Linked DNA regions of Schizosaccharomyces pombe. Changing the gene in region 1 together with any one later gene gives a genetic interaction. Each region holds a gene or a part of one and is shown on either strand. Other genes may lie near its edges.

What was found.
Region 2: of its3 (region 1) and gyp10, a mutation in one rescues a mutant of the other (synthetic rescue), as found in Schizosaccharomyces pombe (2 studies listed by BioGRID, with this or other methods).
Region 3: mutations in its3 (region 1) and efr3 are lethal when combined (synthetic lethality), as found in Schizosaccharomyces pombe (one study listed by BioGRID).
Region 4: of its3 (region 1) and ptn1, changing one enhances a phenotype caused by changing the other (phenotypic enhancement), as found in Schizosaccharomyces pombe (one study listed by BioGRID).

What each region holds. Positions count from the first base shown.
Region 1 is NC_003424.3:4,070,499-4,075,536, reverse strand, and holds its3 (1-phosphatidylinositol-4-phosphate 5-kinase Its3), read right to left. Parts: upstream 3,402-5,038; 5' UTR 3,162-3,401; coding exon 1,411-3,161; exon of another isoform or gene 1,358-1,410; coding exon 1,246-1,357; exon of another isoform or gene 1,243-1,245; intron 1,150-1,242; coding exon 784-1,149; 3' UTR 501-783; downstream 1-500. Other genes in the region: trehalose-6-phosphate phosphatase Tpp1, read left to right, coding at 1-270; protein Poz1, read left to right, coding at 4,781-4,886, 4,924-5,038. UniProt on the Schizosaccharomyces pombe protein: Catalyzes the phosphorylation of phosphatidylinositol 4-phosphate on the fifth hydroxyl of the myo-inositol ring, to form phosphatidylinositol 4,5-bisphosphate. Involved, together with the calcineurin ppb1, in cytokinesis.
Region 2 is NC_003423.3:1,240,493-1,244,962, reverse strand, and holds gyp10 (GTPase-activating protein Gyp10), read left to right. Parts: upstream 1-1,791; 5' UTR 1,792-2,017; coding exon 2,018-3,139; 3' UTR 3,140-3,532; downstream 3,533-4,470. Other genes in the region: SPOM_SPBC651.04 (uncharacterized protein), read right to left, coding at 1-116; nit1 (nitrilase superfamily protein), read right to left, coding at 3,729-3,865, 3,923-3,938, 3,999-4,433. UniProt on the Schizosaccharomyces pombe protein: Has a role in vesicular trafficking and septation during cytokinesis.
Region 3 is NC_003421.2:263,354-268,762, reverse strand, and holds efr3 (protein efr3), read right to left. Parts: upstream 3,376-5,409; 5' UTR 3,319-3,375; coding exon 3,119-3,318; intron 3,079-3,118; coding exon 882-3,078; 3' UTR 757-881; downstream 1-756. Other genes in the region: tef101 (translation elongation factor EF-1 alpha Ef1a-a), read left to right, coding at 1-666; dihydrolipoamide S-acetyltransferase E2 Lat1, read right to left, coding at 4,364-5,409.
Region 4 is NC_003423.3:3,159,400-3,163,709, reverse strand, and holds ptn1 (phosphatidylinositol-3,4,5-trisphosphate3-phosphatase Ptn1), read right to left. Parts: upstream 1,982-4,310; 5' UTR 1,888-1,981; coding exon 841-1,887; 3' UTR 769-840; downstream 1-768. Other genes in the region: iqw1 (WD repeat-containing protein), read right to left, coding at 1-292, 339-432, 478-538; SPOM_SPBC609.01 (Dis3-like exonuclease family protein), read right to left, coding at 2,498-4,310. UniProt on the Schizosaccharomyces pombe protein: Acts as a phosphoinositide 3-phosphatase and regulates PtdIns(3,4,5)P3 levels.

The DNA.
Region 1 (5,038 bases):
CCTTCCAGTATCAACAAAGGAGGAATTGTCAAACAGATTTTAAGTTCGTATCCAGAAGATTCACTTCCTTCTTTTATCTTTTGTGCAGGTGATGATAGAACTGATGAAGATATGTTCCGCTCTTTGCATAAAAACACTCGTATTAACAAGGAAACTTCATTTGCAGTTACCATTGGATCCGACAAAAAGCTTTCTATCGCCGACTGGTGTATCGCAGACCCTGCAAATGTTATTGATATCCTTGCTGATTTGGCAAATTTTACTAACTGAATGACAAACTAACTATTTCAACGAAGATGCCCGATTCATCTTGTTCTTTACAAAGATTTATTTATTGAGACACACAATCCTGGATCTTAGTTCAGCCTTTAAATTAATTTATGCTCTAGTTATTTATGTTTAGTTGAGAGGTCTTCGTAATTGAACTACTTCCACTACTATGAATCGCTCTTTTCTAAGTACATACGTTTACTCGTTACAAAAGCATACTTTCTTCCTAATGAATTTTAAGTTATATCATAATAATATAGCTTTTTGACAAAGATTGGTGAGGAACTGACGAACATAAGTTATTTGAGATGTAAATAATAAAAGCGCTAATTAGAGCAATAAGTTATAGGTTGTGCATCCGTTAATGCACTTCGGCATACATGCTTTGCTTTGTTTTTTCTCTAAAATAAAAAGATAAATTAGCCAATATATACAAGAATAAAAAGGTGGTAAAGCATTATAAATAAATGCATTAAACTTGAAATATGTGCACTTCAAAGACATTAAAATTTATTAAGATGAAGAAGTGTTCGTAGTAACATTGCGGCATGGGAATGGAAATCGGTGTTCTGTTTTGGGTGATTTATGAGCAGAAGTGCTTTTAGCATTGCGAGAAGAAGGAGCTGTATTATTATTAAGAGAACCATGCTTGTTATTAGTGCGCACATTGCCAGCATTAACGCTTTGCTGTTTGTTAACACGCTGGCCATCCTGCGGTTTTAAGGGGAATGGTTTCAAAACTAAAAGAGTTGGCTTAATACTTGACTCTACAAATTTGTAGAAGCGTGAAGCGTATTCAGCAGGTGGAACAGCAGAAATGACAGAATCTGAATGATTAATGCCCTTCCATAAATGCTCAACGCGCTTAACATATGAATACTAAACACCGGTAAGTATAATGAAAATAAAAGCAAACAAGGAAAACAAGTAAAAGACTTTGCATTCCCATAAAAAAATTTACGCAATTTATCATACCTTAGTAAGTAAGTCAATTATTCCGATATAAAAGATAAAGTTTCCTGGCTCATTGTTTTCATCGGTGGCTTGGAATCCACCGTCATCACTGTAGAACATGAAGTTTCTTCTCCTAAAATAGTGTTAAAAAATAGTCTAATTGTTAAAAAAATAATAAGCACTTACTCAACGAACTGGTCGGTCGGCAATAGATTACAAGATTGATCCAACGAAACAGGACCGGTGCTATTAACGACTTGTCTGATTACATGAACGTTTGAGTGAGATTCATTGCCATTAATCGAGGGCACTCGATGTTGCGACACATTTGGGTCGTAAACTGACAGAATGCTATTACGAATTTTGTCACGATTACCACGTGAAAGGTCATGGATGCCGACAAGTAAACTGTAATCCATAATTCCTAAAGAGGACAGCATATCAATATCGGCTTTGACCTGAGTTAAGAATATCTGACGCTTTAAAGGACCAAACTGAAGATGCATATTTCTGCGAATCCAATTTGTATCTTTCATTGTACACATGGGACTTTGACAAGGTTGATTTTCGTCGAGTTCCCTTCCTAGGGTGGATCCTTTGAGATCAAAAGTTTGGTGGATATCACGATGAGGTGGGAAAAGGTTGTTCATTACAACAAAATGGATTTTTCGGCCAAAGGGTAATTTTACCCTATGCAACCCATAAAATTGCGAAATCAATGTGTTCGGATTATTCTTGACGTGTTCGTAGTAATCATAAAGAATTTCACGCAAAAATTTGTGCTCAGAGTGATGGATTGTTTTAATAATGAATCGATAGTCACGAGAAAAATAAAAAAAAGAACCACTTTTCCCAGGAGAATCTAACTCAGACAAAATGTACTTACTGGTAAGAGATACAAGATAATCTGCAGCATCTAAATGAAACAGCTGCCTTAGATGTCTAAATACCCAAGGTGCATAATCTTTGAACTTAAAATCATACTTGGCGGAGGGAGTGAGTTCGTTGCCAGTAATGTCAAAGGTAAACTTGTGACGAGCAGTAAAATCAGCAGGAGTAAGCTCACGGTCCATTTTCGCTTGGCAACGAGAAACACCGACGCGAATTCCAGTAAGCATGTTGTACGCTGTAACATAGTTTTCATGGCCCTCTGAAACTCTAGTTCCAACGAGAACGCACTCATCGTCCAGTTCTTCCCTGCGACGGCGCATGTTAACACGTTTTTGTTTGACTGCTTCAGCCCAGCTAGCAGAGCCAATATCGGGGGGAATGCCATCCAAAAGAGAACCCGAGGTACTGACGTTGGTACCTCGGTCGCCGGATCTCGAGCCAGAAGGTTCAGCGTTGCTAGAATTTTTTTCGGAGTAAGATCGCTTTAGCGGCCGCTTCGCCTTCTGCGAGGAGCTGAGCGTGGAACGATCATTAGGTGGCTGCTGAGATGAGGTTACAGGGTTGGAGGAAGAGCGATCTATGGGGGCGCGAGAAGGTTGAGGAGAGGATAATTGATGCTTTAAATTTTGTAATTGGGGAGAAGAGGAAGAATTGGAGGAAGGAGGCTCGAGGGCACTTACGATGGGAGAATCTCTCAAGATACCATCAGGTACGCCAGTAGCCGTAATTACCGAATCGTTAGAAGAGGAAGAAGGAGAGTGGGCAGTGGGATTTGAGGGGAAATCTTGATTTTCCTTAAATAATGAATCGTTAGGTTCATAAATATGGGTCTCCGACCGAACTTCGATTTTGGGGTTGGTATGAAGAACATCGTGGCGCATCGTACGTTCGAAATCGTTTTTATGGGATATCAAATCCTTTTTTTGAAACGTACCATTTGGAGCAAAAGCATTCCCATTCAAATCGACAGCCTGCTTTTCATCATACGAAGGGATTTCGTTCGTTATAGAATGCGGATTCACTATGCCGTTTGAATCAATTTTCATTAGTGTTTCCTACAAACATATATGAAGAGTTAAAAATTTACTCGCCAATGGACTCCAAACACAATTTTTGATTCCGTTTTTTAACAAACAATTTGAAGACGTCAATTTCGTCGTTTTTCAGTTCCTACAAAAGCAAGTTTTTTCCCAAGTTATTCAAAATGTTTTAATTTACCGAAAAGAGCAGCTTAATTCTCTTTTTTATCAACTCTTTCACCGCAAAACACTTGATACCAGCGAAGTGTTGTTTCTACCAGTTTCTTCCCTAGATATATAAAGTCACCGGAGTTCACCGAATTGTCCGGCACATTCTCCAATAATTCGCACTAATGGCAGTAAATGGATAAAATTATCGCTTTCTGTATGGGAAAGGAGCAATCCCGAATTTACCAAGCCAAAAACTTCTGAAACCCAGTTCCATTATTGCGAATAGTCCATAAGCTTGCGATGTTTGAAGTCGTTGACAACGTCGATTTCGTTGAATGTAAACAAAACGAATCTGCTCAACGTAAACAAAAGCATCGATATGGGTGTGTTGCGTGAAGAGCTGGATGCTGTAAATCCAATTTTATAAAGGCTTACTTTTTAGAACCTCTATTAATCAATTTATAATGATTAAGCTTGCATGGATAAGTACAGCAAATGATTGAGCTATTTTGAAAATCTAAAGATTTGAAATTTCCTTAAAAAAAAAATAAATAATAAAATAAAGTTAAAAAAAATTAAAGTAAGATACACATAACGTATACTTCGTTTATTTCAAACATATCAATTTATTTTTATTTTCCAAAAATATATATATATATATATATTTAACAAAAAGAAAAAGGAAATATCCAATATTCCTTTTCTTCGTTCTCAAGTTTACTTTGAATGTCTATAATATAAAGAAGCTAGCACTGAATATTCAACTTTAAGAATCCATTGAAATTATAATCAAAGGACAGTATCTAATGTTTTTTGTCTTACTAGATAGATAATTGCTTTTCCCATTCCTTCGGGTTTTGTGCACAAGTAAATAAAGAACTTCGGATAGAATCTTAAGAGGCTTGGGTAGTAAAAACATTCAATCAGATGGATCATTTAGTTCTAGCAAATAACAAATTAGAGTAATTTTTGAGATTGAATAAGGAAAAATATCTTGGAAGAAATGATCAATCGCCTAAAGCATGTTTATTTCGTAAGCTTTTCATGTCTTAAGGCACAAACACCACCGTGATCCAAGGTAATTGGCATAGCGTTATGAAAATGAAGGACTTAAAATGGAGAGTAAAATTTATTCTTTTGTCACGCCAAAGTCGATCTTCCATTCAAATACTTTTTTCATTTGGAAATTTTGCTTACCGCTTTTTTGGATAAAGCAGTTCACTGTTTAAGGGAATAATTTATAACATTAAACAAAATACACTTCTTTAAGGAGTTAAATTCGTCTTCTGTACGATGTTCCAAGAAACATAACAGTAGACAAAGCTATTCGATCCATTCGTTTTTAGATTTCTTTATTAAATGATTTATTTTCTCTTACGGAATGGTATTCATTTTATCTCGTAGACCAACTTACATTGACTTTACCAACTTTTTATACTTTTATCCTTCGTGTATAGATTAGTTTTTTCCATAAAATGAATGAGAAGATTCGTTCACAATCTGTGCTGAATACACTAGAAACGTTTTTCATCAAGGAAAATCATTATGATATGCAGAGAGAAGAATCTTCCATTGTGAACGGTATGAAAGCCAATCTTGAAAATCATTAACCAATTAGCCTGCTTACGATATTTGGGTTATTCGAAATCAATGTGTCATGAAAAAATGCCGATATTCATGGATATCGCATTCATTGAGTATTGCTTCAATCTTTCGCTTGACCCTTCTTCATT
Region 2 (4,470 bases), on another chromosome or scaffold:
TTGAAAATCGATTCATATTGCGTTCGAAAAACGATACTTTTCCAACGGGGACTCCACTTCTCCCATTGTTCAGGAGAGGCATAAATATGTAGCTTTCCGAGTTCAGCGGAACTCATTCAAAGCTCTTTGCCTGTCTATATACTCAAAAGCTTTCGATGAAAGATGGGATGTACAATGTATACGGAGAGGCGGTAAGAGGAAAGATAGGTCTAAGCAGCAAATTTGCTAATCCAAACGAAAATTCGAATACCAGCCATCTGTAGTTATCAGATCGCTGACCCACAAATATGTTACCTTGATCTGACTTATCTAAAGTAGCAAAATCAACACAAGAAACCTCGCTGTAAACAGAAAGGATGTTGTTTGATAAATGTTAGAACATTCCAATATGATTTTCACGATTATAGGTTTTTAATGAAGATACCTTTTCACTCAGATTGCTGGGTTTAGCTGGTAGATGATGAGAAATAAATTGGGAAAACTAAGATTCATCATGAATACAGACCTAAATATGTTTCAGCAAGTTTGAGTATGCTTTTTAAGACAAAAGCAGTAAATTCTTAACTTCACACTTCTCAAATCATATCCTTTCTATCTGAAACAAGCCATTCCACTCAAAATAAATCCAGAAACTATCTGTTTAATATTATAGTAAGCCCAACTGAATTAAGCACGGATTTTTGAAATATAACAATATGTAGTTTTAATCTAAAAGCTAAATAGATTGATGTATTGCCTATTTTAACTAATACAAAATGAAGCGATACTTCAATAAAAGAGCCACCTCAAAAATTTATATTAATATTTCCTACTAGGATTATATTAGAATTAGGTATTCTTTTTATCAAGCTTAAGTATTCGCTACTTTAACATGTGGATTCATTACTGATGGTTTTAAGTCATCGCTTATTTTTTTCTTTTTCGTAATAATTTCTTTTACATGAATGTCTCAACATTTGCTTGGGGTCAAATCGAGTTTTCAGCAAATACCATTAAATAGATTTTAATTAAAAAATAAGAAAAATTTTTCAAAATTCGTTCATCTTCAGGAGAGTATTCTCCCTCGTTTGAAGGGGTTCGTTTTATTTTTTATATTATATTTATTTATTTTTTTGGAGGAATGGTGTTATTTTAACGACTTACCCGCACAAAACTTTTGATACTTTGGATATAGCATTATTTGGTGGGAAAGTAAAGAAGATTTATCCGCAATCGTTTTACAATGACAGCTAAACAAACCCGCAGGATCTACAGCAGGGAACTGTTTCATTTGTCAAATATTCATACGGATATTAATTTTATTATTTGTACAATCCACCATCTAATAGTAACATAACGATTTCGGCAGTGCATACTGATATTCTTTCCTTAATTTGAAAAAAAGAAAAGAAGAAAAGAGAAGAAATAAAGAAAGTTCTTCTTGTTTGATTTGATGGAAGTCTCTCCTTATGAGTTGACACACATGCTGTTGAACTTTACAGCTATTTATAAAAGCCCTTCTACTTTACTTCGCCATCATATATTAACTAGCAAAAAAAAATTTCATAAGGAGATGGTATAGTAATAATACTAACGATATTCGAAAAAAAAAAAAAAACCGTAAAAATGCTTCGTTTAAGAATTTTTATAAAATTTTAAATTTACTTTCTTTCTTTCTTTTTAAAGTTGTTAAAGATCTTCTTTTATTAAGGTTGTCGAGAGGGTGTTCGGCGCAGTTGTTCATTGTGTTCCTTTTCATCTTCTGATTTTTTTTTTCCCATTTAAGTGGGTACGTACATCAACCCACAGACCACTAACTGCGCCCAACTTTTTTGATCCTTTATAAAACGGTGTTTTAGATGCCAAACGAGATATTTTATTAAAGAAAAATTTAGCTATTTATGAAAAAGTAAAGGCCTGAGATTAAAGGATTTCAGGATTCCTAAGCAAAGTGTGATTTAGTTTTCAGTTCAAAATTTCAAAAATATTCTTCTTCAAATATTTCTCCCTTAAGGGAAGTGGCGATTTCGCTCATGAGATGAAGAAGAAGGAGATAAAACAACTAAAAAATGAAATCAAAATTGCATTATTGAACTCTGATGTCGAAACACTTTCCCACATTGGCAAAGAAGGACATGGCTTCCTCATGAAGAGTCTGCGCAAGTCTGTATGGGTCAGTCTTTGTGGTTTATCGTGTCGACATCGAATGGAGTGTCTTTCGAGATCTACTTCTCAGTCTTCTTATGCCGACCAGAATCAGGTTCATTTGGATTCGGAACGATCATTCTTTCAGTACAAGTTGAATCCATTTCTACTTCGTAAACACCGTTCTCAATTGACCAAGCTGCTCAGTGTAGTCTTTAAGCATTATCCGGAACTATGCTACTATCAAGGTCTTCATGATATTGCCCAGATCTTGCTTCTTACCCTTCCTTTCTCTCATGCTCTCCCTTTAATGGAGCATCTAGTATTTTACCGTCTTCGGGACTTTATGCTTCCTACCCTTGATGGCACGGTGAAACAATTGCAGCTAATTTTAGCAGTTATCAAGGCTCGCGATCCCACTCTTTATGAGTATTTAATAAAGGCAGATATCCAGTGTTATTTTGCTCTTTCATGGTTAATCACTTGGTTTGCACACGATGTTTCAGACATTTCGGTGGTATGCAGGTTATTTGACTTCTTCATCTCTTCTCATCCTCTTACCGTCGTGTACACGTGTGCTCAGGTTGTGCTTGATAACCGTACTTCCATTATTGAGCTTTTATGGGATAATTCTGGTGCTGATTTATTGCATAGCTATTTGTGCAAACTTCCGGCGTCTATTAACGTAAATCAACTAATTAAAAATACCTGTGCAACTATATCAGCAGTACCCTTTTCTTCTCTACCCTTGGACCGATACCAAATTTCTCCGTACAGTTGTCTTCGTAATACTGGCGATCCTTGGGAATATATGTCTCGATCCAATGGATTGCTTTTATTTCGACTTCAACTCGCTGAATTGCAGGAAGAAAAACACAAGCCTGGCACCAAGGTTCCTGCTGTTTTTCTTCAAGAAAACATATTCAATGGTTGCAACATGCTTGCGGCCATTACTGTAATAGGCATCGGTATTGTCGCATCTCAACTTATTCCAAAGTCCACATCCAATTCTTAGTATTTTAATCGTTTAATATTACTAATTCATGCAAGATCCTAAATTGAATAGGGTCCTTTAATTTATATTCCAAATACTACTATAATACGGTTATTCTTTCCACGCATGGGAAAGAATGTTCGGGGGGTTTCCGCAGGGACTATATTTTGTTTTTTATTTTAACTTTTTTTCTAATCACAAAACAACACTTTTGAATCAAAGTGATTCTGAAGGTGCAGTCATTAATGATTTTTCATGCTTTATTGTAAGAAGTCTATTTCTTTTTATTTTTTTTAATTTTTCTTCTTTTTGTCTGTGTATTGCACTTTTCCTATATGATGCCTAATCGTTATACATATATAAATTATGCATTAATTAATAAAATAAGTACTTACTTTTTGCATTCCACTTCGATTCTATTATGTTTACTATATCGAGCGCTCAGTAATTTACGGTTTTATGGAATTATTTAATTGTCGCAAATTTATTTTCATAGTATTCAGGCTTTAATCTTGCAAATCCGTAAGTAATAATGAATACTTCGTAAACAAGCCGAAAAAAAATTTTCTCTTTAATTTAAATTGAAATCACCTCAGTTTGTATAACAGTGCTAAATGGTCGGGTATAAATCGTTTCTACGTAATAGTGGAATATAAGTTCGTACATGGTCAACAAGATTCAAATCAAGGTCAGCAAAAATGAGGCCATTCGGAGAAGAGATATCACTGTATTGAGCAATAACAGTACCTAGATGCATTAGAATTTCAAGTTATTTTACCTAATAAAATTGTCAAAATGACATACCCCAAGGGTCAACAATCTAAAAATTTTAATTAGCAAGAATTCTTAAACAGACAGGTGAAACTTGAAGACGACATACCATGGAATGACCATAACTAGCACGCTTCTCGTTATGCTTTCCACCTTGCGCAGGAGCTATAACATAACACTGAGAGTCCAAAGCGCGAGCTCTCAACAGCACTTCCCAATGAGCAGCTCCGGTCTTTTCAGTAAAAGCACTAGGGTATGTGATAATGTGAGCACCCATGTTTCTAAGCTTTATAGCTTGTTCTGGGAAGCGGATGTCAAAACAAATTGCAGAACCAACTTTGCCTAGAGGGGTTTTACAAGGTGGGAGAATAGCTTCACCACGAAGTGTAGTATTCGACTCTTTTAAAGTTGGTCCATTTTTAATTTCAACATCAAAAAGATGAGCTTTGCTGTAACGGCTAATGATTTCACCATGAAGAGGCTCGATAAACAGGCTACTGTTTAGTAGCTTGTTTTTAACCTTAGATGGTTCGTGCACGCATATCTATAAAGACAAGTTTGTTACTATCAAAGTAGTTAAA
Region 3 (5,409 bases), on another chromosome or scaffold:
ACTGACAAGCCTCTTCGTCTCCCCCTTCAAGATGTTTACAAGATCGGTGGTATTGGTACAGTTCCCGTCGGTCGTGTTGAGACTGGTGTTATCAAGCCCGGTATGATTGTCACCTTCGCTCCCGCTGGTGTCACTACCGAAGTCAAGTCTGTTGAGATGCACCACGAGTCTCTCGACGCTGGTCTTCCCGGTGACAACGTTGGTTTCAACGTTAAGAACGTTTCCGTCAAGGATATTCGCCGTGGTAACGTCTGTGGTGACTCCAAGAACGATCCTCCCATGGGTTGTGCTAGCTTCACCGCTCAAGTCATCATTCTTAACCACCCCGGTCAAATCTCTGCTGGTTACTCTCCTGTTTTGGATTGCCACACTGCTCACATTGCTTGCAAGTTCGCTGAGCTCATTGAGAAGATTGACCGTCGTTCCGGTAAGAAGATTGAGGAGTCCCCCAAGTTTGTCAAGTCTGGTGATGCTTGCATTGCTAAGATGGTTCCTTCCAAGCCTATGTGTGTTGAAGCTTTCACTGACTACGCTCCTCTTGGTCGTTTCGCTGTCCGTGACATGCGTCAAACCGTCGCTGTCGGTGTCATCAAGGCCGTTGAGAAGGTTGCCCCTGGTGCCGCTAAGGTCACTAAGGCCGCTGTTAAGGCTGGCGCCAAGAAGTAAACATTTTTTACTTCGGATTTAAGTAGATCTTGAGTTGTTGTAATCAGGATAGGCTAGTGAATGTTATATTGTTGATTAATATAATTTGGTATACTACTCAGTAATTAAATTTACTTATAACTTAGGAATTGAAATTTAAATTGCATGGTTAAATATAGATTTGCAACGATAATTCTTTTTTTCATTTTTTAAGTGCAAAATATGTATATGTAGAACTAAGTGCGTACATATGGAGGACTTTGAATAGGTGTCGGAGACATAGCACGATTAAGATTCAACATATCAAGCAGAGGTACACGGTTGCTCGTTTGTCTTGTAAGATTTATTTCCGACGGAGAACGTACGACAGTACTAGCAGTGTGTGGCCTTGATAGAGCCTGTTTCAATGTGCTAACCATTTCTCCACGTTGTGATTGCTGGTGAATAGAAACGAGCGACTTGGTAGCATGAAGTAAAGGATTTTGTTGGTAATCCGAAGCCGGTGATATAAATGGAAGTGAATATTCTGAAGAAGAAGTAAAAGACTTTTCGCGAGACGGTTTCTTTAATTTTTGAATAATATCGGTGTACTTGGGGTGTCGCGATTGCTCAGCAAATAGTAGTCTAGAGTCCTCTGGGAATACTTTCGGGCTTTTCTCCAATAATTCATTTACAACCATGTCCAAAGGCAACATGACTTCCTCGGTAGAGGCATTTGTTAGTTTCTCCCAAGAATGCGTAGAAGAACCTCTGTTCAAGAGACTCGAAGGTAATGAGCTAGATAATGAATCAAGCCACTTTCGTCCACTTGACTGAAGAGTTGTGATCTTCAAATTCTCTCCAATATAGATGATATAATAAGCAGTAACCGCCTCGGCAATACAGCGAGGAGGATCATTTTCAAAGGGTCGTAGTCCGCGATACATAGCAGGTAATACCGCTGTTACAGAAACTGGACCATAAAGCTGGTAAAGCCTTTGGATGATGAGTTTTAGAATATAAAATTCAGACTGCACCGAAAACACCTTGAGCCAACGTTCAATATGCCAACTGGTTTCATATATAAAATCCCATAATACAGAAAATGATGTGATTGCACTTTTCCGTAAAATAGTATCGAAATTTATTAAAGATGGACGGAGAAAGCACAAAAATTCGTAGAACACCTCAGCAGTTTTTATTCGTACAAAAGGTGACTGGGAAGTGTGAAGACGTTCAGCGGATTTGGGCCAGCTATGCAACAAAAAGTCGGTAACTAAAGAGAGAGGAGCACTGGATTCTTTTTTTGTATTTAGCTTTTCATTTTGCAGCTTATGAAAAGCTGTTAAAGCTACCATTTGTATAGCAGAAGAAGTTTCAGAATTAGCAAGAGTGTCGATTTCTCGCCATACATCAGCAAATTCTTCATCGTAATATTGATGCTTAGTTAAACAGGTGATACAAACCAAAAGTAAATAAAGGCGCCTAGGGAGCTTTTCCGATGGAGATTCACACATATTATACCAAGTTTGGTCATCAGCATCGAATGAATTGACAGCGTTGATAAGATGCGACCCCAAATCACGTAACACGTCAATAACGGATAAGCCAGAAATTGAGTTTTTCGAGTTAAGAATGGAGTAAATCATGTATGGCACCATCACATTAGTTTCAGAGTTGACAATACGAGAACTTGATAAACAACGAAGACAACAGAAAAAGATCGAATGTCGAAGTTCAACAGGAGTCCAATCCAAAATTTGGTTAAGCACGACAGATATGTATTCTAGATTTACCGGAGTGTCGGATTTTGCTGCAAAAAAATGTATCAAGGACTTCGTACTTTCGGCCATAAACAGAGGATCTGTCTGAGTATATATGTTGAACAAAATTCTAATACATAACTTCTTAATGGCAACATCTATATTATCACCCGCTTCATCATGCTCGGGTAATGAAACACCAGTACTACTAGGAGGCAATGGCTTATATGATTTAGCCGTGGAACGAACCAAATCAATAAATGACTTCTTCTCCTGATCTGATTCACTCCAAGAATTAATCAAAACGCAATGTATAGCAAAATGAGGTTGATAACGCATTCCGCCTTCAGTTCCAGCAAACTTGCATGCGGTTAAAGCATGGAATGCTTTCAGGCCAAGCATTTTCGACTGCTGAGGATCAACACAATCAATACCTTTTGATAATTCAAAAAATGAATTGACTAAGTTATTAAAAGCAGAATGGAATTCGTTGCCAAAAGTGGCAGGACTCCCCTTTCCACTATTATCGCAAAACGTAGCAAAACAATCAACGCAGGCAGACAAAACTTCTAAATTTTTTGACGAACTAGCAACAAGGAGCATATTTACAACTTCGGAGGCCATCACGTTGATGTTATCCCGACATTTTTGAACCAATGTTTTGCATATTTTCAATCCGATAATAACCTCACTAAAAACATTTAGAAATAGAGCCTAAAACAGGAACTTACTTATCACGTTTATGATAATAGCTATGACGAACACGACTCCCTAAAAAATGAGCCACTTTTCTCAGTTTACTCGAATTGGATGCAGCATAATAACTTAGGTATGCTAGAGGTGACCCATTCGGTTCCGTTTCTCCTAGTTTCCCCGAAGGAAAACATCGAAGGACTAACTTCTTATGCTTAGAACGAAATAGTAACCACATAGGACCTAAAAAACTGGCTATCACATGGACAGCAATTTTAGTTGGTTAACGGATACTTCTGAGTAGTACGATGATCAAAATCAATATATAGCTTCACGTATTAAAAATGACGTATTAAGGTAACTTTAAACGAGTCGCTTGTGTAAGCTTATTTTGAGTAAATGTGTCTACCGGTATCCTCTAAACACAAAAAATAGAAAAGTGATCCGTATAATTCAGTTAATTATTTAGTGCAAACTGCTATCTTAAGTGGAACACGCCACCAAAAATAACTGATCTGAAGATTAATGAGTTTACAGACATATGTAAATGATCTTGTTATTGAGAAATGACTCATGAGCCATAAATAAAGCGTTTACTGCGAAAACAACTTTCGAATATTTAAATGACTTTATCAAAGGTTATAGAACATGCCTTATATCCTTATTCCTGCTTACCTTTCCTGAAAGTTTTTCTTACCGAACATGCTCATATTCTCTAAAACTTAAACATTCCCTATATCTTTAAATCTCTTTTATGAATTAAGAAGCCAGATTTTGATGCCAATAGACATTATTAAAGATATCCATTTGCAAACGAACATTTGAACTGGTTTAAAACAAGGGATGTCGGTTATCACTTACTAAGCAACAATCTATTGAAATATATTGAATAAAACAACAATAATTTACATACCCAACAGCACTTAACGTAGCTATTATTGCGCTTCCTGCCGTCAATACTAACGATATCAACAAGATTACTTAAGTATTATTAATTCTAAACAAAAGTAATATTTAATAAACATAGGAAGGAAAATTATAAGCTTGCAAAGCAAGCAAAGTATTATAAGACAGAAACGGAACAAAGTCACTTAGTAAATAAAATCGTTTTTTCAAACAGCCAATTGTAGTAGTAAATGTATACAAGAAACAAAGAATGCTCAATCTACCTACAACGATTGATCGTAAGCTCCTGTTAAAGCTCCGAAAACATAACCTGAGTAAACACCTTTATTGACAAAATAATTGCATGATAGTATGAGCAACCCGACTTTTGCTTTATTTTAAAGCATAATCTCCAATGGATTTTCCAAGATCTTTTTTAGGGCGGTGGTAAATCGAGCAGCCATAGCACCATCAACAACACGATGATCGGAACTAAGAGTGCATTTCATTATGGGGGCAACCTTAAAGCCCTTTTCAGAGGTTGAATCAGGAACAACTGTATCAACAGTGGTTCCCACAGCAAGGATACAGGCTTGAGGAGGATTGATGATAGCAGTGAATTGATCAACAGGGAACATACCCAAATTAGAGATGGTGAATGTGCCTCCTTGATATTCCTCAGGCTTCAATTTGTTGTTACGGGCACGTTGGCCATAATCCTTAGCTAAAGTGGAAATTTCTGCAAGACCGAGTGCATGAGTATTGCGAATTACAGGAGTGATTAAACCAGAAGGTGTAGCAACAGCCATAGAAATATCGACGTTCTTATATTGACGAATAAAGTCACCCATCCAAGCCGCATTAACTTCGGGAACTTGCCTCAAAGCAGCAGTAGTAGCTTTGATAACAAGGTCGTTAACCGAAAGCTTATAGCGTCCATCAGCCATGGCGTTGAGGGCAGCACGGAGGCGAATGATTTTTTCCATGTTAACCGAGACCGTAACGTAGTAATGAGGGTTCATGTTTTTACTTTCTGCAAGACGAGAAGCAATGATCTTACGCATGTTGCTTAAAGGAAGATCTTCATAGTCACCAGGTGCTGCTGCGTCGGCAGCGGAGGCAGCAGGAGTTGTAGCTTTAGCAGCAGCCTCATTTGAAGGTTTAGGTGCGACCACAGGTTTAAAGTTTTCAATATCGACCTTAATAATACGTCCATTGGGACCTGAGCCGCGAATTTGGGATAAGTCAAGATCCTTCTCTTCGGCCAACTTGCGAGCCAGAGGTGAAGCAAAAACGCGATCACCGCGTTCTTCGCCAGAAACATTAGATGGGCTAGAGGTCTCTTTTGATTGTTTCTCGCTAGAAGGAGCCGACTTTTCTTCACCGCTCTTAGCTGAGGGTTCCTTGGCAGACGAATCCTCAATGGTGAAATCAGCCATAGCGG
Region 4 (4,310 bases), on another chromosome or scaffold:
GATGTTTTTAACAGAATCAAGAGCACAACTCCAACATCTAGTTTGAGTCTCCATGCCGTGATCCATTCCTCCTTCTTTACTTGAATCTAAATCAAACAACTTAATAAGCTTATCACCACTAGCAGACAATATTTGCCGGTTATTAGAATATGGGACAAATTTCGCACTGAAGATATTTTGAACATGGCCAGTAGATATTAAATGCCGTGGCTTGTATTCATTGAAAACATCCCAGACAATTAGTCTTGTATCATCACTTCCTGATAACAAGAATTCACCGTCCGCGGACCAGCTGAAAATTGTAAGCATTGTAGAACAAATTGTTATAAAACACTTACTCTAGTGTATTAACACATCCCGTATGACCAGTTAATTCTTTCTGCAAATCTATACCGGTCAACCAAGTCGAATTGCCGTAGATATCTCGACTGACTAATAAACTAGTTAGCATCATTCAAAAACAAAACAAGAGCATACTTTTTCGCTGAAACCAATCTCTATAATCCAATTGACGCAAGGATAGTGATATCCCAGACATGAGAGTCAATTCAGCGATTAACAAGCGTTGGTGGAAGACAAGCTCAATTCAAGTGGATGTCGGTAATGTAGCCACGATGAGTTAATACCATAAATCGTAACTGCAAACTCGAATCTTAGAGTATAAGCCTTAAACTCAAACTCCTATGTTTTTTTTAAAATTTAAAAAAAAAACTTGAAGCGCCTCTGTAATTTACTGAAGTAGAAACACTTCAACATGTGAGTTTATTTCGATGATCGAAAGGAGGATCTAATTGCACAAATAATCATTTTATTTTACACTAATATAATATTTACAAAATATCAAAAAACATTTTCATATACAATTGTCAGTTGTTCGAAAAAGGGGTCACTTCGTCGGCTATTATCCATTTCAGACCAGGAGAACGAAATTGACTGTTGTCCTTGCAGAAAGGAATTTATACCTTGTTGAAAATTTATCCCGTTTGTGTATTCCACAAGCATAGGTTGAAAGTGAGTATGAAACCAACATTGCACACTCGAAGGAAAGTAAAACTGGCCCTTGCGTTCGACTCTGAGCAAAAGGTCTTTCTCCGATGTTTCTAGGTTGCATTGTATCCCCCATATACGTTTTCCTTCTTTTATGCTTACATTATGGGATGATATATCTGAACTCTTCCACAGAGCAACTGGATTTATGTTTCGTCCCTTAGAGAAGGCATGCAATGATAGAATCAAAGATGAATTTTTTTTAATATTCAAACATTTAAAACTTTTAAAAAAAGTGGTACCAGTATTAAATTCCACAGCTTTCAAATAATTCGGGAACTGTTTTAAAATTTCGATATAATAGACGTAACGTATTTGCGATGAAATGGTAAGACCGTGCCCTCGAACCATTCTTTTTTCAGTATATAGTTCAAGACTTTGCTTGGCTGTCAAGCCTCCGAAAGCTACCAAGTAGCTACATATTACAGTTCCTGTACGTCCTTTTCCGGCCTTACAATGAACTACCAATGTCAACAAAGGTTGCGTTTGAAAGAGTGCATCCATATTCATAACAATAGCCCATAAAAAGAGAAGCGGAGGTGGATTATGATCTTGAAATCCATAATTTATGACATTTGGTTTAAATAATTCCAAATGGTAAACTGTTTCTTCGGCACATAAATTCAACAATATCCAGTTGTCTTTCAATTGCGTTGTAAGATATTTAAATACATCCAATTCGTCGTTTCGATATAACTTATGTATTCCAGCAGCCGGTGTAGACATAGCAATTACCTTGGAAGTAATATAAACCATATCTAAGTAAGCAAAGCTACGATTCACTTTTTCTTGTTTGAGGCCTTTTCGACCCCTCGAAACTACTGATCGAAGTATATTCATGGAAAATTACATGTTTAATTAGTTATTTGTAATATACTAGGATAATACTGCAGATGCCGTTGACTGTTGAAATATGAGGTAAGCTGCACTGTTCAGAAGAAAATAAGAGAAATACAATAAAGATTTTAGTAATGAACTTTAAGCGGGTAGGTATCAACCATAGTGACGTGAATAAATAACTAATTTACTTTTAATTATTTATATATTTTGATAGCAATGATTTGATAATCCATTTTATTGAAAAAAACATAAGGGCATAACTTTTCCCTTTAAACGATGCAAAAGTATTACTAGTAAAAAAAAATAATAAAGAAATAAAAAAAAAAAAATGAGAAAAATGAATAAAAAAAGCCAATAAGAAATACAATCGTAAGACATGAACCGTAAATAAGCATTAAAATATTTTGATAAAAATCCTTAAAAACATTTAAGTCCACCAAAAAACAAACAAACCCATGCGATTATTCGAATCCTCTAAAATAAATCCAAAACGTTTAGGTAAAAAGAAATAAGTGGTAGAAGTATATAACGTTAGACATATGCAATTAATCATACATTAAAAATAAATCGTGAGGCATACACATTAGCGAAGATCACCAGTTATTGAAGATTAACTGGATAGAGGACTTTGTAAAGTAATTAACGAGAGTGAGTAAGTAGCGGAAGTATCAGCAAATATAAGTACACTAACCTCTTGGCCTGGACGGATGGTTTGAACAACCTCAGGCTCTTTCATACGTAAACTATGAAGTTTTCCATCTCCGGAAATATCCTGATTGCCAGAGGAACTTTTAGCTGTTTTACTAGTACTGTCATTGCCTCGAGCCTTTGAATAGAAAGACTCCTGGGACTCAGCAGCGTTAGCTAAATCCCGAACCTGTGCATCCATCATATCGCATATTTGTTTGCACATCCCGTTGGAATCCAAAAATTTTTTCTTAAAGTCATTGAAACAAGGTGTATCAATTTCCAAAGAAGATGAAGCATAAAAGAAAGAAGCATTTGTCCTCCATGATAAATAGAGTTCGTGTTTTTGCTCATTAAAGTCGCAGTTACTAAGCGGTAGCAGATCCAAGGAGATCCTTCTTTCCAAGCCAAATTCGTATATGACTATGTCAATATACTCCTGGTCAACAGCCAAAACAAAAGCCTTATGCTTAACGAGCCCAGATCGTAAATTAATAGAATGGAGAAGTTGACATAAATATGCATGTAGACTTTTTTCCTGGGCATTACGGTAGAAGTTGCTCAGTGTGTTACAAGACTGAGTTATAGAAAGTAAACTTCTGTAGTCTTTGGAAAAGTCTGGTCTGCCATCAAAGGCTTCGCGTAATTGTCTCTGTACACATATATCGATATATCTACGAGTAGGGTGACAAAAATGGGTGTAGTAAGGACAAGAGAACACAAAATGCGAAACATCCTTAGCATTTGAAGTACCGATAGTGTATTCAGATTCATTACACATTCTTCTTAGAGTCAATTGTAGTAACATTTTGGTTCTCTTATCCTTGGTAGTTGCAATTTCGGTCATGATTTCCGAAGGAGTAGATGAAGCAGATAAATTCACTCCGGTTAACTCAGAAACTGCAACAAGAGATGCAAAGTCAGAAGGTCTTTGATTTTTTCGCAAAATCACTTTACTGGGAAAAACAGACATTAAATGAGATGCAACTTTCTCGTTTACCCAATGTTCAATTTGTTGTAAAGAACATGCAATAGGGAATGCCTCAAAAATACTCATGTTAATATTCTGTATATTAGGAATCTGCCCATCGCAAAATTCAAAGCAGTATAAGGATTGTAAGTCAAGTTTCTTATCTGTTTTCAATCTTAGTTTGGTAAGGACATGGGCCGATGCATCAACTAGCTGAAGCGCTTCGTTGGTTTGCAAGTTTGCTTGTGCACTTTCTAAACTAATAAAACTTGACGGGTGGATTACAGAGGGCCCAAGGGAACACTGTAAAACAGCGCCGCTTTTCAAATCAAGCTGTACAACTATACTAATTGTTAAACAATCATGTCCCTCTATAAGGGAAATCTCTTCTGAGACCTTTTTCGGTAAAAAGGGTACGGAACCTTGCAACAATTGTACTTCTGATACTCTATTGGCAGCTTCATCATCAAGAGGCATATCTTGCTTAACGTAATACGCGACGTCTGCAACGTGTATTCCAAGTGTGATGACTCCGTCGATGGAGCCTGTATCAATATGGAGAGCATAATCACGCGTTCCAATCATGAAGGTTAACTTATCTCGTAAATTGTATCGCTTTTGTAGCTCTTCTGCAGGGATAGGCGTAGGTAATCTTTTAACACAATGAGAAAGGGATTCAGGGAAGTCATATGTGTGGCAACTGAAATCGTGAAGAATTGCTTTGTACTCCACCTTGGGGTCCCCAATTGTTCCAATACTTTCATAT